2 linked regions of the Macaca mulatta genome follow. The protein of the gene in region 1 interacts with the protein of each later gene in a biochemical or structural test. Links are inferred from orthologs where the notes say so. Each region holds a gene or a part of one and is shown on either strand. Other genes may lie near its edges.

Region 1 (11,232 bases):
GCTGGGTGGCCACTCTTGCATCATCAACAGCCGGCCATGGAGGAGGGAGGGCACAGCGCGGGATGTGAGCAGGCGTCGGTCAGGGAAATGGGGAAGTTCCGCCAGAACCGGCTCCCCCAGCTGCTGCCCTAGTGGGAGGGTCATTGGCCAACCTGCTCTCACCCAGCTTGGGCTGGCCGTAGTGCCAGGCAGGTGCCCACAGCTCCTCCACCCATGGAGGTGGCTGCCCCTGTAGGCTCCAGGGCGTGGTGGGAGTGTCCAGGAGGCGGAGGCCAGAGGCGAGTCATGCCGTGGAGGCAGTTCCTCTCTCAGACCCCATCTGTGTCTCCCCCGCTGCATATCTGGGTGACACGGATGGCCAAGGGGCAGGAGCAGGGGCTGGGAAAGGCTGTGGAGGGGCCCTCGGCTGGTCTGGCGGGGAGCGGGTCACTGTGTCTCTGCCGCCTCCCTGGGGGATCCAGCATGGGGATGGGACATGGAGCTGGGTACCTCTCCTGGATGCCCCTGGGCTGACCCCCTCGACAGCCCTGACGAGAGCCCTGGCCCAGCGTCTGAGAAGGAGCGGGAGCCGGGCCTGGGTGGGGGCAGGAGCCGGCGTCACTCTCAGCGGCTGCCCCACACCCCCCAGCCTGCCTGCGAGGCCATGTCGGACTACGAGAACGATGATGAGTGCTGGAGCGTCCTGGAGGGCTTCCGGGTGATGCTCACGTCGGTCATCGACCCCTCGCGCATCACGCCCTACCTGCGGCAGTGCAAGGTCCTGAACCCCGACGATGAGGAGCAGGTGCTCAGTGACCCCAACTTGGTCATCCGCAAACGGAAAGTGGGTCAGTGCTGCCCCGCAGGCCCCAGGTCCCAAACCCAACCAAGGAGCCCGCTTGGAGGTGGCTGCACGCTCTGCCACCCTGACCCTCGACCCCAGGAGAGCCCCGCCTGGCTTTGCCCCTGGCCTCCCAGTGAGGCCCAACCTCAACCCTGGCACATGGCCACCCTATCCCCCAGCCTCTCCTGCCAGCTCGGTGCTGCCAAGAGGGGCAGTGGGACTCCCACCACAGCGGGGGCTCCTGAGACAGCCAAGGGATGGGTGGACAGCACTTTGTCCCCAGCCTAGTACCAAGACCCACAGGGTGCCTCATCCACGACCCAAACCACAGCACACCTCATCTGCATCCCAGCCTCCACCTGTCCCTGCCCCCGGGCCCACCCACCCCAGCCCTCTGCCTCGCCTGTGCCCCGCCCCCAGTTAGGCCCCTCTGGCCCGCAGGCGTGCTCTTGGACATCCTGCAGCGGACCGGCCACAAGGGCTACGTGGCCTTCCTCGAGAGCCTGGAACTCTATTACCCACAGCTGTACAAGAAGGTCACGGGCAAGGAGCCGGCCCGTGTCTTCTCCATGATCATCGGTGAGTGACGGGGAAGGCGGTGGTGGGGGCGGGCAGTGGTGCTGGGTCCTCTGCCCAGCCCCCATCCCTAGGAGCCCTGAGCTCCTGCCACAGCGCAGGGCGTGATAGAGCTGGGCCACCGGGGAACACAGGCACCGTCTAACGCTGGCGCGGCCCACAGACGCGTCCGGGGAGTCAGGCCTGACTCAGCTGCTGATGACCGAGGTCATGAAGCTGCAGAAGAAGGTGCAGGACCTGACCGCGCTGCTGAGCTCCAAGGATGACTTCATCAAGGAGCTGCGGGTGAAGGACAGCCTGCTACGCAAGCACCAGGAGCGGGTGCAGAGGCTCAAGGAGGAGTGCGAGGCCAGCAGCCGTGAGCTCAAGCGCTGCAAGGAGGAGAACTACGACCTGGCCATGCGCCTGGCACGCCAGAGCGAGGAGAAGGGTGCCGCGCTCATGCGGAACCGTGACCTGCAGCTGGAGGTGCGCCCACTGCCCCCGGGGAACCAGGCCCCCCTTGCCTGGCCTGGTGGGGTCTGCAGGCTGGGGCCGTCGGGGGTGGCCCCGTGGGTCCGTTGTCACCGCCTGGAGGGGACAGCCGGGCTCACCGGACCTTCCGCAGATTGACCGGCTCAAGCACAGCCTCATGAAGGCCGAGGACGACTGCAAGGTGGAGCGCAAGCACACGCTGAAGCTGAGGCACGCCATGGAGCAGAGGCCCAGCCAGGAGCTGCTGTGGGAGCTGCAGCAGCAGAAGGCCCTGCTCCAGGCCCGGGTGCAGGAGCTGGAGGCCTCCGTCCAGGTGGGGCCGCAGGCAGGGCGGGTGCAGCCCGGGCAGGACAGCCGGGGCCTTCCCAGCCAGGCCATTGCCTTTTGCCCCCTTCAGGAGGGGAAGCTGGACAGGAGCAGCCCCTACATCCAGGTACTGGAAGAGGACTGGCGGCAGGCACTGCGGGACCACCAGGAGCAGGCCAACACCATCTTCTCCCTGCGCAAGGACCTCCGCCAGGGCGAGGCCCGACGCCTCCGGGTAGGAGGGCAGGCAGGGCGACGCAGCTCCTGGGGGCCAAGCCACGCTGGGTGGGCTGAGCTCCGCCCACTCCGTGCCTGGAAGGTGGGGCCTGGGGACTCCTATGGCCTCCCCCCACATCCCAACTGGCCTGACCACATGCTCCTGAGCCCCTTCCCCGAGTACACCCCACGGGCCAGAATGGGGGGCCTCAGGCCTGTGGGGGCTGAGCTGCTGCCCCTTGCAGTGCATGGAGGAGAAGGAGATGTTCGAGCTGCAGTGCCTGGCCCTGCGTAAAGACTCCAAGATGTACAAGGACCGCATTGAGGCCATCCTGCTGCAGATGGAGGAGGTTGCCATTGAACGGGACCAGGTGGGCACCTCACGGGGCGGGCAAAGCACCCCACTCACGGGTGGGTGCACAGGGCCACACCCCTTGAGGGCAGTTGTCACGGAGTTTTTAATCTTTGCTATTTGTTTTTGAGATGGGGTCTTGCTGTGTCACCCAGGGTGGCCTCAAACTACTGGCCTCAAGCAGTCCTCCGGCCCCAGCCTCCCAGAGCGCTGGAGTTGCAGGCTGAGCTGCCACACCTGGCCTGCTTTTTAAATGACAGAAGTAATATTTAACATTAAAAAAAAGTAAACAGTGATGAAGTCAATACTTCCCCGCCCCAGCCTGCTCTCAGGGAAAACCGTGTTCCACCTTCTGGCTCCACCTTACAGACTTTTACCTGTCATCCATCTATCCATCCATCCATCTATCTATCATCTATCTATTTATCTATCAATCATCTATCATCTATCTATCATTCTATCATCTATCATCCATCTATCAATCAATCATCTATCAATCAATCATCTATCATCCATCCACCTATCATCTATCTATTATCTATCACTTATCTATCTATATATCTTTTTGATTTTATGAAAACATTCTGTCTTGTTTTACCAGTAGCTTTTTTTTTTTTTTTTTTTGAGACGGAGTCTCGCTCTGTCACCCAGACTGGAGTGCAGTGGCCGGATCTCAGCTCACTGTAAGCTCTGCCTCCCGGGTTCCCGCCATTCTCCTGCCTCAGCCTCCCGAGTAGCTGGGACTACTTTTGCTGGGACTACAGGCGCCCGCCACCTCGCCCGGCTAGTTTTTTGTATTTTTTAGTAGAGACGGGATTTCACCGGGTTAGCCAGGATGGTCTCAATCTCCTGACCTCGTGATCCACCCATCTCGGCCTCCCAAAGTGCTGGGATTACAGGCTTGAGCCACCGCGCCCGGCACCAGTAGCTTTTTTTAATCTTGAAAAAAAACTTGGCTGGACGCAGTGGCTCTTGCCTGTAATCCCAGCACTTTGGGAGGCTGAGGCGGGCAGATCACTTGAGCCCAGGAGTTCCAGAGCAGCCTGGGCAACATGGTGAGATCCCAACTCCATAAAAAATACAAAAATTGGCCGGGCATGGTGGCTCATGCCTGTAATCCCAGCACTCTAGAAGGGCGAGGCAGGTGGAACACTTGAGGTCACGAGATCAAGACCAGCCTGGCCAGTATGGTGAAACCCCGTCTCTACTAAGAATATAAAAATTAGCCGGGTGTAGCGGCGGGCACCTGTAGTCCCAGCTACTCAGGAGGCTGAGGCAGGAGAATCGCTTGAACCCAGGAGGCAGAGGTTGCAGTGAGCTGAGATCACACTACTGCACTCTAGCCTGGGTGACAGAGCAAGACTCCAACTCAAAAAAAAAAAAAAAAATTGGCGTGGTGGTACATGCCTGTGGTCCCAGCTATTTAGGAGGCTGAGGCTACAGCAAGTCACCATTGCGCTACTGCACTCCAGCCTGGGCCACCGGAGTGAGGCCTGCAAGGCCTCGAGTGCTACATGCTGTGAGCCGGATAGAGCGTCACGGGGCAGGGCTGTGTCTGCTTCCTATGCCCCGTCCCGAGTCCCATCCTGGAGGTTGTCTCCAATGGACACCACTGCTTCTTCGGCGAAATTCTGGATGGCAGTTTGTCCACATCAGGAGCCTTAAAACGAGACCCCTGGGGCCATAAAGCAAGCCCTGGCCACCATGAGAGCAGCACAGGCTCAGAACTCCTGCGCGGCCCCACCACAGCCTCACTCGCGCCTGGCCCACCCCAAGATGGGGAAAAAAGGGCAGATCCAGTCGTGCCCCCATGGGGGTTGGTGTGGCTCCCAGGGCGAGGGCTCCCACGGGGCTGTGCGGGAGCAGGTTGGCCAGGGATTAGGGAAGCTGCCAGCCGTTGCTCCAGTCCAGTGGCAGGGGTTAGGTGAGGGCCTCCCAGCCTTGGCTGCAGGGGTGGTCACGCCGTCATGTTTGCACGTTCGCTCCTGTACCTACCTCAGCATCTGCAGTGGGGACAGGGGTGGTGAAGAGTGCTGCGCTCATGAAGGAGTTTTAGCCATGGACAGTCAGGGTCCCCATATCAAGCCACATCCAAAATTTATCAAATGTGCACGTGTGTGTGTGTTGGGGGGGCCGGTGCACAGCACACGCTGTGTCCACCGGGGGTGCAGGCTTGGGAGGAGACAGAAGGGCAGCAGGGACAACTGTCACCTTTACAGTCCCTCAGATGCTGACTTCATGTTCACAGAGCACATAAAGGGAGGGGCTGTGGCCAGCCTCCACACCCAGCGGCTTGACGTCCTCCGGGGCCTCTGCTCGGAGCTGGGCAGCCAGGCCGAGGGCCCAGGGCGAGCTTGGGGGCCTCACTGAGGGTCGGCCTTGCACTGTCCCATCAGGCCATCGCCACACGGGAGGAGCTGCACCTGCAGCATGCCCGGGGCCTGCAGGAGAAGGACGCACTGCGCAAGCAGGTGCGGGAGCTGGGTGAGAAGGCAGATGAGCTGCAGCTGCAGGTGTTCCAGCGTGAGGCGCAGCTACTGGCCGTGGAGGGCAGGCTCAGGCGGCAGCAGCTGGAGACGCTCGTGCTGGTGGGCCTGGGGCCTGGGGCAGGGACGGGAGCCAGCGGGTGGGACGCAGGGCCGGGGGAACATGGGCCTTCCTGACCCAACCCTCCTCTGTGACGGGCCCCCACCTAACCGAACCCCCCCTCGCAGTGGGGTGAGGGCACAGGAGCAGCTCAGGGCCCCAGCAGGAAATGGGGCTGCAGGGCCAGGGTGGGTGCTGGGCCTGGCCATCAGGCAGCCTAGCACGTTGCTCTGGGCATGGAGGGGGCCTGGCGTGGCTAAGGGCATGCCCAGGGCTCCCTGGAGGATCCCGCTCTGTGCCCTGCCCACCCTGTGCCTGGGGAGCCCTCTGCCCCCACAGCCCACCCACCCCGTTTTCTATGACCACAGAGCTCCGACCTGGAGGATGGCTCACCCAGGAGCTCCCAGGAGGTGAGTGAGACCCCAGCCGGCACGAGGCTGGCCTTCCTTCACCTGGGGTCCTGGCTGAGCCGCCACCAGGCACAGCCCCACACTGCCCGTCACGTGGCCCTGCTCAGTGGGCTGGGCTCGGTGGAGGAAGAGCAGGTGGCCAAATACTAAGGCCTCCGACAGCTCAAGGGGTAAGGCAAGGCATGGACAGTGCCCAGCTCCTGCATCCTCATGGCGGGACCTTCCTGGCTGGCCTCCCCCACATCCGTCTGCTGAGCACCTGAGTCTCTGAAAAGCTCTGTGCAGGGGGTGATGGCAACGGCCGCACCCAGCTGAGGGCCAAGGGCTGGGGTGGGCAGTGTGGCCGGGTCCAGTCCTTGGCGGGGTGACCTAACGGGACATCTTGCCTCTCTTCGGAAGCTCTCGCTCCCCCAGGACCTGGAGGACACCCAGCTCTCGGACAAAGGTAAGGTGGGGACGGCAGTGCACCTGGAGGCCTCCCGGCTGCCCCAAGCGAGGCCCATCTTCAGCACAGGCAGCCTGTGCCGCAATGCCTGTCTCAGCCCCCACAACCCCCACCCCACAGACGGAAACTAGGGCTGGGGATAAGTAAAATGGCCAAGGTCACCCAGAGAACAAACTACAGAGCCCAGTGGAACCCGGGGCCCAGCTGGTGGGACAAGTGTCCCCTGGGGTGGAGAGTGTGGGGCCCCTCTGGGCAGCCCCCCGGGGTGCAGAGGTGAGCAGGCCCACTGTCCTGAGAGTGTGGGGCCCCTCTGGGCAGCCCCCCGGGGTGCAGAGATGAGCAGAGGGAGGTGGTGATGAGCAAATGCCCAGGGGTACAAAGCTAGAAAGTGGGGCAAGACGGGGCCCCACGTGGCTTGAGGGACAGGGCCGAATGCAGGGGTGGCCAAGGGCCTGCTGTGTCCCGGTGCAGTGGGGGTAAGGCAGTGGTGGGGGCTTCTAGCGGGCAGGGCAGGCCCCCTGTGCCTCTCTGGGGGAAGAACTGGAGTGGCTGGCTGGGAGCAGCCCCCGAGTGCCCAGGAGCGGATAGTGGTGATGAGGTAGGTGTTTGCTCTGAAGGTGGTGTCAGGTGGGAGTCGGGGAGGACCCAGCAGAGGGACCCTGGGAGGCTGCGTGGGAGTTGGACGAGCTTCCCGAGCACCAGGCTGTGGCCTCCAAGCAGAGGCGGAAGGGGAAGGAGGAGCCGCAGATGGGGAAGTGAAGACCAGCACCTTTGGCCGCAGCCCAGAACACTTCAACTTGGGGACGCCAAGCCCCCATGTAGGCACAGAGGCGAGCAGACCCAGGAGTCCAGCTCAGGCACTGCCACCATCTCCCTGGGTGGCTGTGGCAGGAGTGGGGGCAGGCATGAAGGTCCGAGGGTGAGCAGGGGAGGGGCTGGCTCTAAGGAGGGGTTGCCAATGGCCAGGACAGCCCTGGCCTGGCCTTCCCCACAGCGGGGCTGAGACTGGACATGCATGGTTTCTGCCCAAGGGTCCTGACCCTTGGTCTGCCCAGGTCCTGGCGGGTTCTGAGGGGGTCTAGCCACCTGAAGGTTCTCTCCCAATTGTGCAGTACCCCTGCCCCCGCCACTGTAGCTGTTTCCAACTCTCTCCCCAGGGCCGCCATGCCCACAGATGCTTTGGAGTGATGGGGGACAGTGCTGCTCAGGCCAGGGTTTAAGCTCCCCTGAGGTCTGGGAGGCCTTCCTGCCTGGGGGGCAGCCAGCCTCGGGGAGGGATGGTCACTGGCAGGAGCGTTGGGCCTGGGCTGGCATCTGGCGGCATCCTGGAGCAATGAATGGGCAAGGGAGGCCATAAGGCCTCAGTCTCCTCTACAGAAGGCAGAGTCTACACTGGACCCATGTGGGGATCCCACCAGGCCCACAAGGTGTCCGCAATGCCGGGGAGGGGTGGGGCACCCTTGCTGTACGTGGCCCTGCAGGTGGGCAGTCCCCACAGGCACGACTCTCCTTTCCAGGATGCCTGGCCGGTGCGGGGAGCCCGGAACAGCCCTTTGCAGCTCTGCACCAGGAACAGCTTTCACGGACCCCCCATGTAAGGCTTCCTCAGGGTGGGGTCCCCCCAGCTGTGGGCCTCACGGTGGCCGATCCCAGGGAGGGTGGCTCCTCGCCCTAGGCACCCCCTGCAGTGGCCCCGACGACGCTGAGGGGTGACCACAAGGTCTCTGCCCTCAGTGCTTGGGGTGCGGTTGTCTGGGGCGCGAAGTGGATCCCCCTGTTTTCTTGGGTACTGCAGCAGCTTCGGGGGGCTTGGAGGTGGACGTGCCTGGTCCTGGTTTCTTGGGGGACTTTACAGTGGATGCGGAGTCAACCCTGAGTAGGTGAACACAGGAGTCCTGAGAGCAAGGACTACCTCGGGCTTTGTTGTAGAAACAATGGCCAGGAGCCCAGGCCGGAGCGTGGCTTGGCCTCCTGCCTGTGTCTTGGCATCTGAAATGCAGGCTACCCACATCGGCTCACTCCCCGGGTACAGGCAGGTCCCAAGCGCGGCGAGCTTGGCGCTGAGCTGAGGCTGTCTGAGCTCCCCGCCTCCCCACCAGTCTGCAGTTACCGGGGCCAGTGGGGGTGCGAGAGAGAAGGGAGGGTGCCCTCAGGGGAGCCGGCCGGAGCCCAAGCCTTTCCCCTTCTCCAGGACGCAGGCCTGAGCAGCGGGGAGCCGCCTGAGAAGGAGCGGCGGCGCCTTAAGGAGAGTTTCGAGAACTACCGCAGGTAGGCGGGCGGCCCCCAGGCTTCTCCAAAACGGGCTGGGGAGCTGCAGCCGGGTCTGCGCTTGAGACACCTGTGTCTTCGCAGGAAGCGCGCCCTTAGGAAGATGCAGAAAGGCTGGCGGCAGGGGGAGGCGGACCAGGAGACCACCGGCAGCGACAACACGGACACTGAGGGCTCCTAGCCGCAGCAGCGCAGGCCCCGTCCAGGGCACACCCACTGGCCCGGCCTCCCGCCACCTGGGGGTGCCGACGCCCTGGGGCGCAGACTTCCCCCGAGCCGTCGCTGGCTTAGCCTGGAAGGAGGAATCTGGTGCCCTGAAAGGCTGAGCCGGGCAGCCTGGCGTTGGGGGCTGTTTGTTAAGCGGCACTCAGCTTGAGGAGGCCATGCGGGTGCTCGCCACCCCCATGCACACGCCATCTGTGTAACGTCAGGGTCTGTTCTATTTCACCATGTAACACACAATACATGCATTCATTGTAGAAGTGTGAGAAAACACGGCAGCTTAAATAAATAAACAGCACGGGTGACCCGCATTCCCGCTCGGACACTCGCGCGCAGCCCCGCGGCCGTCCCTCCTCGCTGCGGGGCCTCGGTGTCCTCCGGCAGCGAGCTGCACGTGGACGCAGGGCCCCATCAGGCCGCCAGGGGGCGGCAGAGCGCAGCGCGACCCCAACCCGGAGGACGGAAGCCCAGGAAGGCCGCTTCCGCCTGGTGCCCACTTCCAAGATGGCGGCAGGGCGGGGCTGACGGAGCTGGCGAGCGGGATGCTGCGGGCGGTGCTGGGCGGCGCGCCGAGGCTGCTGAGCCGCGTGCAGCCCCGAGGGCCCTGCGTGAGGCGGCTGTGGGGCCGCGGGGCCCGTCCAGAGGTCGCGGGGAGGCGGCGCGCCTGGGCCTGGGGCTGGCGGCGCTCAAGCTCCGAGCCGGGGCCCGCGGCGGCTCTGGGGCGCGTGGAGGCTGCGCACTACCAGCTCGTCTACACCTGCAAGGTGGGCACGCGGCGGCACGGAATCGGGGACAGACCCGCACCTGGCGCTACACAGCCTGCGGGGAGAGGCGGCCCGCCAGGGCCTTCCTGCAGGGGGCGGGGTCAAGTCAGAGGAAGGGGTGGAGCCACAACTTGGGGCGAGGTGGGTGTAGGGCCTTCTGGGAAGGAGGGGAGGCGGACCATGAGGAGGAGTGGAGCCGTTTCGGGGGCGGGGCCTTCCCGGGAGGGGCGTGGCGGCGCTCACAGCCTCACCAGCTGCCCTGTCCCAGACAGGTCTGCGGGACTAGGTCCTCCAAGCGCATCTCCAAGCTGGCCTATCACCAAGGCGTGGTCATTGTGACCTGCCCCGGCTGCCAGAACCACCACATCATCGCGGACAACCTGGGTTGGTTCTCGGACCTGAATGGGAAGAGGTGAGGCCTGTACCCCAGGGCTGGGCCAGGAGTCCACCCAGAACCCTGGCCTCCCTGGGGGAACCGTGCCCTAGTGTGGAGGTCTATAGATCTCACCTCGGCAATCCAGCCACCTTATCAATACAAGATACACAGTTAAATTAGAATTTCCTATAACCCCCAGATAGCTGTTTAGTTTAAGTATGCCGGAAGTAGGGGTTGTGTTTTCATTTGCTAAATCTTGCCAGCCCTGTGGCCCTGCCTCCCTGCCTCTACCTGCCCTCTGCCCTCACTGCCAGTCTTGTCTCTCTGGCGTGGTACTTTTTTGCCCTCTGCCGTCTCGGAGTGGCTGGCCCACGGCAAAGTGTGGAGTGTGGGCCAGGCGGTGTGGCCTGGGCTCTGGCCGCTGGGAGAGCAGTGGAGGTGGTGTTGGGAACCTGGTCCGGGCTTTGCCTGGCCGGGAGGTCCTGAGCAGGACAGTAACAGTGACAGCAGGTCTGAGACCAGCATGCTGGGCACTTGGTGGTACCTGGGCCTTGGAGCTGGGGCTGTCCTCCCATCCGACCTGGGGCTGCAGACTCTTCCCTCTGGCGCATAGGGGGCAGGAGCAGGACTGGGTTCCTGAGGTGGCACATACTGGCAGAGAGACAGGGTTGGTGAGGGCACACAGGCCAGCATCTGAAGTGCCCACGTGGCCTGATGCCACAGGAGTGCTGGTCCTGGTGCTTGCAGCTCTGGCCTGGCCATGGGGCACCCTGAGGGGACTGAAGTGCAGGGTGAGCAGGGGCCCTGAAGAACCTTGTTGCCTCCCTGCCTCCCAGAAATATCGAAGAGATCCTGGCGGCCAGAGGCGAGCAGGTGCACCGTGTGGTGGGCGAGGGGGCCCTGGAGTTTGTTCTAGAGGCTGCAGGGACCCCCACATCTACTGCTGCTCCAGAAGCAGGTGAGGATGAGGGTCCCCCCGGCCGTGGCAAGACGGAGCCGAGCTGACCCCTGTGCTCCCCAGCACTGTGGGACTTCTGCCTTCCAGAAGGATGTTTTGGCCCTGGGCCTCTCTGGACATGGCCTGTTTTCTATCAATAAACAGACATTACTTCCGGATGCTGGGGCCGGTGGCCCTGGTGGCATTTCTTTTTCTGGAGTTAGAATGACTGCTCTGAATCCCTGGTGCTGCTGGGTGGGACACTGGAGCCGCAGGACCTCTCGCCTCACCAGTTCCTCCTACACGGAGTCGCCTTGGACTTGCCCACAGGGGCCACAGTCTCCTGGAAAGGGGGCTGGATGTGGAGTCAGAGCCCCTCTTGTTTGTCACTGCGTGACTTTGAGCAGGTCACCACCCCTGTGAGCCTCAGCCTTCCTCTGCAAGCCCCTTGCCATCCCGCTGGCCAGCTCTGGCGGC
Region 2 (11,876 bases), on another chromosome or scaffold:
GAGTGAAGATGAATAACGTTAGAAATGCATTAATGCATTTATTTCCGTCAATTTTTTTGTTCTACTCTCTGCCTCATTTCACAGAGGACTTGAGGTGTTTCTACAGATAAGTTGATAGGTTGGAGGGACTGGAAGTTGAGACATCCCCACGGAGGGGGCTCCACTTCCTCCATGGAGCACAAGGCAAGGTCCCCCACTGAGAGGAAGCAAGGGTGTCACTGTGGGGTTACAGGAGCCAGGCAAATGTTTGGAATAGGGGGGAGGCACCGAGAGACAGAGCCCAGCTTGCCCATTTATAAAGTCTGCTGGGTGGAGCTGACCGCTCTGCTGTGGCCCAGCCAGGCTGCACAATGTGGAGTCATCTCCAGCTGCTTGGGCCCCAGGGGAAGAATTGCAGGAGGAGTCTGTGCGGCTTACTTGCTCTGGCTCTAGGTAAGTCACTTCTCCCCTCCGAGCCACAGTTTCCTCATCTGCCAATGGGGAGAAACAAGTCAAATCTGGAGATTTGATCCTATTGTGAGGATCAAATCAAATAACACACATGAAGCACAGTGCCTGGCACTCAGAAGTTGCTCAATGTTCCTTCTCCTGCTCCTCTGCCTTCAAGTGGGCTTGAGCAAAAGTAACCTAGATAGGAAGGGACGTGAATGTTGTATCTTGTATTGGTGGATGCTATTACATGCAACAATTTTAAATACAGCCGACTCTCATTACTCTCTGTAGCCCTTAAAGGAACTACAGCATCAGGTTCCTGTGAGCCTCTGGCCACATTTTCAGCAACCAGTCAACATGCAACTTTTATTTATTTATTTATTTATTTATTTATTTATTTATTTAGAGATGGATTTTCGCTCTATCACCCAGGCTGCAGTGCAGTGGTGCAATCTCAGCTCATTGCAACCTCCACCTCCTGGGTTCAGGTGATTCTCCTGCCTCAACCTCCCAAGTAGCTGGGATTACAGGCACCCGCCACCGTGCCTGGCTAATTTTTGTTTTTTAGTAGAGATGGGGTTTCACCATGTTGGCCAGGCTCATCTCAAACTCCTGACCTCAGATGATCCTCCTGCTTCAGTCTCCCAAAATGCTGGGATTACAGGAGTGAGCCACCGGGTCCAGCCACAACTTTGTTTTATGTGTGTTTCTCCTTAAAGACACCTTATTTAATATATGAATTGTTCATTCATTAGCATTGAACTCACAGCCAGCACTACTGTAACTCATGTCTGAACAAAGCTTATCAAGCACATGTATTTTCTCCTTAAGGCACGTCACAGCGTTCTTGTGCTTGACAACACCAGAGAGCACTTCAGCACAATGCTTGGGGCCATTTTAAATAGCAAAATCACCAACAAAAAGCACACACACGAAAAAGAGAATAATTAGCACCAAATAAGTCACAAACACAAAAAGAATACTTGTTTACACCATGAGAGCTGAGACAAGAAGGCAGGGTGTCCCTTTGTTCAACTTCAGCTGCGAACATACGTGTGGGTAAGTCAAGATTTTCACCTCTGCACATAAGTATGTCCACAAATAATAGCAATTGTGCCTCAAGTATTGATTTGAGGGTTACAAATACATTTTAGAAGTAGGTGATTTTGCAAATATTGAATCCATAAATAATGAGGATCAACAGGATCTTTATTTTTTCCGATTACAAAAATATGTATAACAAACAGAGCTATCTAATGTAAAAGTTAAAGTCCCCCCATAATCCCAGCCCACAGATGAACACAATTAGAATATAGCTCTATAGAATTTTTGTTATGCAAATAATGCCTGTGATTGTGTCCAAGTCTGTGGGTGTCTATGTGTCTATGTGTATTTGGGTCTTTCTTTTCTTTTTTTCACTCAACAATAGCTCTGGGACAGCTTTCCAGAAAAAAAAATTCCTGATGTTAATTTCTGGAGTATGAATGGAAGCAGATGGCATACACTGCAGTCAGGATCTCTAAGTCTTAGTTCAGACCATTCAACCACATCAGATGTGGGAAGAGCAATCAATGACTTGCCAAATGTAAAGAAAATCAACAGTTTTAGTGTTCTGCATCTTAATGGAGATGGAATAAGGTCAAGAGAATAAGTGCTCAGAGAATAAAAGGACGGAACACTGGAAAGTAAAGTGAAAGATAAAGAGACTGGGCTGGGTGCGATGGCTCACACCTATAATCCCAGCACTCTGGGAGGCCAAGGCGGGCAGATCACTTGAGGTCAGGAGTTTGAGACCAGCCTGGCCAACATGGTGAAACCCCATCTTTACTAAAAAAACAAAAATTAAGGCCGGGCGCGGTGGCTCAAGCCTGTAATCCCAGCACTTTGGGAGGCCGAGACGGGCGGATCACGAGGTCAGGAGATCGAGACCATCCTGGCTAACACAGTGAAACCCCGTCTCTACTAAAAAATACAAAAAACTAGCCGGGCGAGGTGGCGGGCGCCTGTAGTCCCAGCTACTCGGGAGGCTGAGGCAGGAGAATGGCGTGAACCCAGGAGGCGGAGCTTGCAGTGAGCTGAGATCCGGCCACTGCACTCCAGCCTGGGCGACAGAGCGAGATTCCGCCTCAAAAAAAATAAAATTAAATTAAATTAAAATTAAAATTAAAATAAAAAAATTAGCTGGGCATGGTGGCAGGCACCTGTAATCCCAGCTACTCGGGAGGCTGAAGCACGAGAATCGCTTGAGCCTGGCAGGTGGAGGTTGCAGTGAGCCAAGATTGCGCCACTTTTCTCCAGCCTGGGCTTCAGAGCTCTATCTCAAAAGAAAAAAAAAGAGACTGACTTTCGGCCAGAGAAAGCCATATTCTATGTCCTTTGGAGGAGATTAGAGCTACATATTAAGACTATGTACCGAAAGGATTTAGACAATAGAGTAAAATAGTACCAGAGCCTCTTCTAAAGACAGCTGCAAAATTGGCTGGGCACAGTGGCTCATGCCTGTAATCCCAGCACTTTGGGAGGCAGAGGCAGTGGGATGACCTGAGGTCAGGAGTTTGAGACCAGCCTGACCAATATGGTGAAATCCTGTCTCTACTAAAAATACAAAAATTAGCCAGGCATGGTGGTGTGCGCCTGTAGTCCCAGCTACTAGGGAGGCTGAGACAGGAGAATCACTTGGACCTGGGAGGCAGAGGTTGCAGTGAGCTGAGATCACGCCACTGTGCTTCAGCCAGGGTGACAGAGCGAGACTCCGTCTCAAATAAATAAATAATAAAAGCAGCTGCAAAATAGTATGGAGAAAGCTGGGCTGCTGCAACAAAAGACCCAAAATACAATGGCTCTTGGAAAATAAGTTTACTTCTCACACTCTAGTCCATGTCAGGGTGGCTGTACTTCATGCAGTCATTCAGGAACCCAGGATCCTCCCATATCTTTGCTCCATCAGCCCTTTTGAAGCATTATTGAAGCTGGTACATCTGTGTTCCAACTCAAGAGAAGAGGAAATGGACTATGGAAGAGCAAAAGTCTCATGCCTTACGGTCTATTTTTATTTGTGTTCTATTAGAAAGACCTTAGTCACCAAGTCTCACTCGGCTGCAAGAAGAGCTGGGATGTATGGTCTCTAGTGGACCAGCCATTCCTCTGACTGCTACTCTATTATATAGAAGAATAGCAGGATGCATTTTAGTGGACAGCTAGCAATTTCCATCACATCTCCTTTATTTGAGGCTTGGTATCTTCCTCTATAAAATGGAGATAATAATATAAACTAGTTAAGGCTGCTTTGGGACTCAAATCCAATAATATATGTGAGAATGCTTAGCAAGCCATACTGTGCCAGATAAGAATTTCACATTGATTTTGCCCTCTAGACCACCAGTTCCTTGGGAACAAGGAGCATAGTTTATTCCATCCCCTCACAAAGACCTGCTCGGAGTCAGCATCAGTAAAGACATGTTGAATAATGAAGTCACTGTTTCATCCATCATCAAGTCTTTTTTTTTTTCATTTCATTTCAAATGCTTCAATAATTTAGACTCTGCCCTGTTCACCTTCCCCACCCACTCATTAGGGGTGCACATCAGTGTAGCAGTTGGGATTCTCTGGGTTGCAAAGTGACAATGCACTACTGTTAAACTGGCTTATGCAATAAGATGGACCATCTCACATATCCTGAAGTCCAGACTCTGAATCAGAATAAAAGTTTCTCTTCCCTAGGACTCTCTTGGCCTTGCCCTCCGTTCTCTACCTGCTGTATCCTCAGACTGGGAGCAAGATGGCTACAGCAATTCCAAGCATTGCCACCAAACACATCCCAGCAAAGGGGGCAGACGATTTTGAAAAGTAAAGAGACCCTTTCCTGAATTCCCCTCTTTGCCATAGGCTTCCCCTTTAGTTTTTCAGGCTGGACCTGCCCAAACCATCACTGGCAGGAGGAATGAGACCACCATAATGGACTTGGACCAAACAAGACTCACTCCTGGAAATGGGCTGGGGTCAGCCTTCCTTTGGTCACATGGGGAAGGGGCCACCTGAACAAAATCAGGGCTCTGCCTATAAGAAAAAGTCGAGTAATTGCTGTTGCATGAACCAACTATTTTTCTGGCAATGATGGAGATTCTGGGCCAGATGAGGGTGTGATGGAGAAAGTGTCTAGAGAACTAAACTGAGAGCTTTTTCATCAACTGTACCTCAATAAAGTTTAACACCAATGAAGATATTTCTGGAGGAGGCAGAAACTGGTAGCCACTCTCAATGCCTCATTTCCCTCACCCCCGTATCCAGCCATCACCAAATGTCACCGTGTGTGTACCTGCAATACTCTAGCCTTCTCTCCTTACCCACTGTTGGGGCCCCAGTTCGGGTCTTGCCTCCTGCAGGCACGATGACAACAGCACCTCAGGGGTGCCCAGTCTTTCCTTCTCCTGCAACCCGTGGCGTTGATGCGGTTATTCAGCTACACACCTTTACTGTGTGCTGAGTGCTGTGCATGCACAGACACATCGGAAAAGCTCCCTGTCTTCTTCACCTTGCAGATGGTATCATGAATATCTCCGAGACTTCCTGAAACCCAATCGGACCAGGTCATTCCCTTGCCTGAAAGCCCGATGCCTTCAAGAAATGCTTTACCATGACCCAAAATGCCCTCCAGCCCACCCAGGCCCCTTCTCCACCCCACCCCCGACGGTACAGAATTACTTGCACTTCCTTCACTTCGCTCTCCCCTTTCACGCCTCTATGCTTTTGCACAGGCTGTCTCCTCTGCCTAGAAATCCCTTATCCCCTCTCCATCTGGCACACAAGACAAATTTTCCTATTACTTTTCCTCCCTCTCTCCTGCACCACCCCTCACCCCTTACACACACACACACACACACACACACACACAGCACTCCAGAATTGTTTGCCAATGGAGCAGCCTCCGGGGCCAGATGTTAGCCAGGGCTTTCCAAACTTCTCCCCAAGCACTCCTTAAGAAAGTGAAGAGGAAATGGAACCCCAGGGCTTAGGAGTGTGAGGTCCTTGAACTTGCTCTAAGCAAGCGGGGCATTTCAAGAGTTTTATCTTTATATTTTATGCAGAAATTGTATTCCAAACATATTCTTGTTCATTTTAATACAAAATATGATTTTTTTCTACATCTTCAAATCAATGATCCAGAAAGATGCTCCTTGTTTATTTGTCGTGCTCTCAAATTAGCTGCTGTCCCTGCTCCGCCTCGCCGCGGGGACCCTAAGCGAGACCTGGATGCAGTTCCAAGTACACACCCCAAGGAACAGCTGGGGAGCTGGAGGATGGTGGGGGCGGGGCGGAGGTCAACTGGCTGGCGGCCCCTCCCCTCCCCCGCCCGCTGCGGGGGCGGAGTTGCTTGGGTCCCGCCTACGGGGGCGGGGAGGTAGCCGCGGCCACCGGCAGCTCAGATTCGGCTGGTTCCGGGTTGAGAGGCTGCGCTGGACCGAAGCGGTGGCTGCTAAGCCCGCGGGGGTAAGGGTCCGCGCTGGGCCAGGGTTTGGGGCCGGGATCCGGCAGCTGAGCGGGCCGGCACCCCTCCTCTTCTCTGCCGGTCACAGCCAATGTACGGCTCGGCCTGGCTGCCCCCTCCCCCAGGATTCCCCATCCCTAGCTTCTCGCCCTCCCCCCAAAGCCCCCACCCCGGGATTTCGACCCCTTCAAGGGATCCACCCCTCTCCGGGATCCCCTTCTCCCAGCTCCTATCCCTTAGGACTGCCCCGCCCCCTAGAACCTCCCCGCCAAGATCTCCGTCCCTCAGCCGCTCACGGCCTCCTCCCAGCGTCCATTGACTTGAGCTCCCCACTACCTCTAGACCGCACTCCCGGGCTGGCGTCCCAGGGAGTCTCAGCCGCGCACCCCTTCCTCGCGTTACCCTCCTTCCGGACAGCACCCCCTCCCTTCTCCAGTAGCTCCTACCCCTGCCTGTGCGGGCCTCGTCCCCGCGCCCAGCCCTCGGTGCTGCCTCCAACAGCGCCGCACTCTCTCAGCCGCCCCCCTGCCCCTCGGGCCCCCCTCTCTGCCGCCCCCGGCGCCATGGCGTGCAGCCTCAAGGACGAGCTGCTGTGCTCCATCTGCCTGAGCATCTACCAGGACCCGGTGAGCCTGGGCTGCGAGCACTACTTCTGCCGCCGCTGCATCACCGAGCACTGGGTGCGGCAGGAGGCGCAGGGCGCCCGCGACTGCCCCGAGTGCCGCCGCACGTTCGCCGAGCCCGCGCTGGCGCCCAGCCTCAAGCTGGCCAACATCGTGGAGCGCTACAGCGCCTTCCCGCTGGACGCCATCCTCAATGCGCGCCGCGCCGCGCGACCCTGCCAGGCGCACGACAAGGTCAAGCTCTTCTGCCTCACGGACCGCGCGCTGCTCTGCTTCTTCTGCGACGAACCCGCGCTGCACGAGCAGCACCAGGTCACCGGCATCGACGACGCCTTCGAGGAGCTGCAGGTGCGCTGCTCGGCCGGCCTGGGGCAGGGGCGGGGCCGGGCTGGAGGTGGGGTCGGGCCGGGGGTGGGGTCAGGGCTGGACTGCGGGCCAGACCCAGTCAGAATGGCCCCGGGGCGGGGCCGCCGGCAGGGTCAGGGCCCTATCAGGAGTAACACGGAGCAGGGAGGGGCGGGGCCGCCGCGGGGCGGGGCCGTGGGGGCGGGGCCTTGGGCAGTCCGTACCGGGCGGGATCTGAGACAGACCTGGAGTAGGGGCTGGTCCGTGGTTAGGAAGTCGAGGACGCGGATGGGACGGCGGAAACGAGTGACATCAGAACTGGACCAGATACTGGGCTGGGGCAGGGTTGTGAACGAAGTGGAATCAGAGCTGGGGAAAGGCAGGGCCGCTGTCAGACTGAGGGCGAGGCCGCGAAGATGGGTCTGTACTAAATCGGGTAGCTGAGCTCTGGCAGGCTGGGGGTTCTGTGGGGCCGGAGACTGGATCAGATGTGCATCAGGACTAAGGGGAGTACAGGGGCTAGAATGTGCTGGACAGGTGAGGGTGAAACTCAATAGAGGGGTATAAGATAGGGTGCCAAACTGCTTGAGAGGGCAGGTTTGAGTGCCGAGGGTTAGACCAAGACGTATGAGGGGTTAAAACTGAGATCAGCTCCAGATACTCTACAACAAGTTTAGATTTAAGCCAGAGTAGAGGCCAGATTGAGTGGGGCCAGGACTTGAAAAGTAAAGATTTGGAGAATAAGGCCCAGATGTACGGTGATTCAAGAAGGGAGGGTCTAGACCCTAGACTCTAGGAGTCTCTATGGGTTTTTGATGACCTCTTTGGCTCTGTCCCCCACATCAGGACCTCTGAAGACTAAGCGAAATGGTACATGCAGAGGGACCTGAGCATAGTTGGCAAAGAACTCTAATCGGTTCCCCTTAAGACTTCCTGTCTTCACTGACAAACTCCTACTCAACTTTTAAGGGAAGAACCCTGGTTTCTTCCAATGTCCTCTCTGTGAAGGCTTCTCCAAGCTCCACTGGTTAAAAAAATAAAAAATAAAAAATAAAAAGCATTAGAACTGCATTTCCCCAAATGCTCTCTATTAATAAGTATGGGAAATGTAGTATATTTTTTATACCCACCCCCTTGGAGAATTTTCAGTATGCATTTGCATATTAAAAGCTTAGAGAAGTCTTGTTGCAAATAAATCTATTTTACTGTGTTTAATAAAATGGTTCCCAAGCTTATTTGGGCCTGGAATTCTTTTTTCAAGCTAAATCACTGAAATCCGGCAGTCCCATGTTCCTGGCTTTGGGATACTAGTGGAGCACATAGTTCTCCAAGGCCAGAGACAGTATCTTGTTTCTCCTATCCATGGCCACAAAGCCTGGTGCAAGACCTGGTCCACAGTACACACCAAGAAAGACCAAATGAATGAATGAAAGAATGACCAACGCTGGCGTAAGCTGGACCAGACTATGGAGCATTTGGAAGCAGAAAGTTTTTGGCTCAAACATTTTATGAAAATGGAGCGGGCTAACTTGGGAGGTAATGAGCTCTCTGGCCTCGAGATACTCAAACAGAAACTAAATAACTACTTTCCCCTGTATTGTATGGGCTCCCAATCCCTTCACACACCAGTCTTTGAGTAGGCCTGCACCCAGCAGATGCCCATGGGCCTCAGGAGAAATGGCCCATGTTCACCATCGCCCCCTCCCTGTCCCTTTTATCTCGAAACTACAACTGACTCCCTTCCAGTCTAGCTGTCTGAGGATGAAGACCCCATCAGAGGGTGAGCAAGAGCCTGGGCCTCTGGGAGCCTGCACAAGGCTTGGCCCTCCACCCCCAGAGCCATCATGCTAGGCGCTGCTGCTGTCCATCTCCTTGTCTGCGGAGTCACATAAGCAGGAAGAGTTTGAAGGGACTCTGTCTGAAACCATCTGTCCAACCTCTTCATCATGTAGGAGTGGAAAGTGAGGCCTGTAAAAGTGATGTGACTTGCCCAAGGCTACACTTCCAGACAGTGAGAGAGCCAGGGCTAGAGGGCACAGCCTGACCCAGATCCCTCTTCTCTGATCTCTCCCCTCCCTGTCTGACTTTCTAGCCTCTGCTTCAGAGGCTTGGTTCTCCTGTCTGCAAACCAGGGAATCCAGATTACTGTATGTTGGGCTTCTGTACTCTATCCCATGACCTGGGGGACACAGGAGAAATTGAACATGTATTACCTACAAATACTATTGAAATGCTTCATTATTGGGTGAAAAGTAAAACAGGAGTGCCGCTTGCTTACTCTCTAGCACACTGTCCTGGGGTTGGACACACTTGAGTTCCAAACCTGCCGTGGGCACTGTGTGCCCCTTGATGAGTCACTCCATGTAAACGCTGATGCTCTGTCTGTACAATGGGGTCCAGATGCCTCCTTCCTACCAGGACTTTTGTGAGGCTGACCTGGGATTACCCTGCTATTTGAGGTTCAAAGGCACACAGTACGGGCTGGAATAACATATAGCCCACCTTTTCTCTTTCTACCTGTGAGAGCTCATGTGCCCAGCTGAGTGAATGCCCAGACTCTCCTCTCTGGCCCAAGAAGGAGGCCTTGCTTTGGTGTGTCCTCCGGGCTTGGCAATTGGGTGGCAGAGAAATCTGCCTCCCCTCTGGAGAGGATGTGCTGCTGGGTGAGATTCAAGGCACCCTCCACCCCCACCTGCCTCTCCCTCCATATGGGGAAGGCTTATTAGCTATTTATGCAGCAGAAATAAGGCTGAACCCACCCTCACATCCCCTTCTCTCCCAGCAGCTGATGGAGCTGGGGCCCTTCTCCTGCAGAATTACAGACTCAGAGCCGGCAGGGTCATGCAGATCATCTGGTGCCACGCCCACTTGACAGATGGGGAAACAAGAGAGGGAGAGGGAGGAAGGGGACTTGCCCAAGGCCTCGAAGCCAGAGGAGGCTGGGCCTGTACTCAGCCAGAGTCTCCTAACACTCTACCTAGCAGTTGGCCTGGAGCTTTTACATTTATTGTAAATCCTTGAGGCATCAGAGCAGAGAAATTAAGAGCCCTGCTTTGTACTCAGGTAATCTCAATCCTGGCTCCACCATTTACTGTGTGACTTTGGTAAGATTATTTACCATCTCTGAGCCTTGGGTCCTTCATGGATAGCATGGAAGTAATTATATTAGGATTAAACAAGATGATGTTTATAAAAGCTTAGTACCTAACAGCACTCAATAAATGACAGCTATAGTAGGTTACATCGTCCTTGGCACTGTTGACATTTGGGGCTAGATAACTGTTGTGCAGGGCCATCTTGTGTGTTATAGGAAGTCTGGCAGCATCCCTGGTCTCTACCCACTAGATGCCAGTAGCAAATTCCACCCACCTCCCAAGTTGTGACAATCAAAACCATCTCCAAGCATTGACAAATGTCTCCTAGAGTCAAAATCACCTCTAGTTGAGAAACCTGACCTAGAGAAGTCCTACTCAACTTTAAAACTTCAGGTCAAATATCACCTCCTCTGTGAAGCCTTCCCTGACCTACTAAGCACAATTGCTTTGTACTCCAGATTCCATCACAGGGGTCAGACCTGACATGCTGTGTGTCCTTGGTCACGTTACTTTGCTTCTCTAAGGCTCCTTCCCTAAGGTTCATCTATAACATAAGGATATGACATTCCTGGGAAGGATGTTGTAAGGGTTAGGAATCCTTTATCAGAAGTGCCTAGTACCGTGCCTGGCACAGTAGGTACCCCGAAACTATTTTTAAATATCTTTGTTCATTATAAAATTAACATAAGAAGCAGAGCTATATAATGTAAAAGTCCCCCCCATAATCATACCCCATGAAACATGGCAGGAATTACTATATAGTTCTAAGGATTTTTGTGTAACCTGTGTGTGTGTATGCGTGCATGCATGTGTGTATGCATGTGTGTACATGTGTGCACGTGTGTGTGCATATGCGTGTGTGTGCGTGTGTGTGTGTGTGTTGGCGTCTTCCTCCCCACCTCCACTGCTGAGTACCTGGACCACTGAGCAAAGTGGAGGGAGGGAGCCCATTTCCAAAGAGTTCAGGGCTTCTCAGCCAATATTCATTGAGCCCAGTCTGAATGCCTGGGACTGCACTAAGAGCTTTTCTTGCATTACCTCATTTAATCTTCATAGCACCCTGTGGGATGGGTACTGTTATCTATTTCTTTTACCGATGAAGTAACAAACTCAGAGGAATTAAGTGACTCATTTGGTCACCCAGCTGGTAAATGGCAGGGCCAGGATTTGAAGCCAATCTGACTAGGCCACATATCATCCCTGAGCTGCCTCTGAGGGTTGGGTAATTGTCTCCCAGCCACCCTGCTTGTCCTGTATTGACAGGGCCAGGCCATCTGTCCCAGCTGACGCCCCGAGGGCAGGTGGTTGGGACGTCATCTTGGTCAGACCAGGCGTGGCATCCGGCTCTCTGGCCATCTCAGGTTCCTAACCCCCAGAGAGGGCATCCAATTCAGTCTCAGCCGCCCCCTCCAAGCCTCATGTGACCGTTGGAGCCCTTCCCAAGGCTTCCTTCATGCCAGAGAAGACAGCAGTGGATCAGCCTTGGGCGCAAGCCCTGGCAGGCAGGGTATGGTGATCCAGTGACACCAAGACAGCCACCCAAGGAGGGAGTGGGGCTGGGGGCTAGGTTCAAATCCCGGCTCTGGTTTCTTCCAGGAGAGGGGGTGACACTCTTTTACCCAATCTGAGAAATGGAAGTAAGAACTAGCCCTCCTGCTTTATGTGGAAAGAGAGAGAAAGAGTTGCTAAATATCCAAAGAAATGACAGATTCAGAGGTACTTTATTTTGTAGCATAGAAAGGAAGGCAGCTGGGTTGTCTGTGTTCTGGGGAAGTGGCTCTGCTGTTACTTTTCCAAGGAGAGGGCAGGATTTCTCTGCCAACAGCAGCCTCTGTGAGGGCAAAGCTGGCTGGGCATGGTGGCATATGCCTGTATTCCCGGCTACTCAGCACAAAG

What was found.
Region 2: of the proteins of CARD9 (region 1) and TRIM62, one has a biochemical effect on the other in vitro, tested with the Homo sapiens proteins (4 studies listed by BioGRID, with this or other methods). The link is inferred for Macaca mulatta from reciprocal best matches to the Homo sapiens genes CARD9 and TRIM62.

The regions. Positions count from the first base shown.
Region 1 is NC_133420.1:6,139,030-6,150,261, forward strand, and holds the end of CARD9 (caspase recruitment domain-containing protein 9), read left to right. Parts: intron 1-327; exon of another isoform or gene 328-475; coding exon of another isoform or gene 476-628; coding exon 629-827; intron 828-1,264; coding exon 1,265-1,402; intron 1,403-1,562; coding exon 1,563-1,867; intron 1,868-2,006; coding exon 2,007-2,186; intron 2,187-2,270; coding exon 2,271-2,414; intron 2,415-2,640; coding exon 2,641-2,766; intron 2,767-5,143; coding exon 5,144-5,335; intron 5,336-5,701; coding exon 5,702-5,743; intron 5,744-6,142; coding exon 6,143-6,188; intron 6,189-7,705; coding exon 7,706-7,782; intron 7,783-7,922; coding exon of another isoform or gene 7,923-8,072; exon of another isoform or gene 8,073-8,175; intron 8,176-8,379; coding exon 8,380-8,456; intron 8,457-8,540; coding exon 8,541-8,637; 3' UTR 8,638-8,989; downstream 8,990-11,232. Other genes in the region: DNLZ (DNL-type zinc finger protein), read left to right, coding at 9,221-9,442, 9,715-9,854, 10,655-10,776. UniProt on the Homo sapiens protein: Adapter protein that plays a key role in innate immune response against fungi by forming signaling complexes downstream of C-type lectin receptors.
Region 2 is NC_133406.1:207,674,006-207,685,881, forward strand, and holds the start of TRIM62 (E3 ubiquitin-protein ligase TRIM62), read left to right. Parts: upstream 1-5,859; 5' UTR 5,860-6,480; coding exon 6,481-6,888; intron 6,889-11,876. UniProt on the Homo sapiens protein: E3 ubiquitin ligase that plays a role in antifungal immunity by mediating 'Lys-27'-linked ubiquitination of CARD9 downstream of C-type lectin receptors; leading to CARD9 activation, followed by activation of NF-kappa-B and MAP kinase p38 pathways.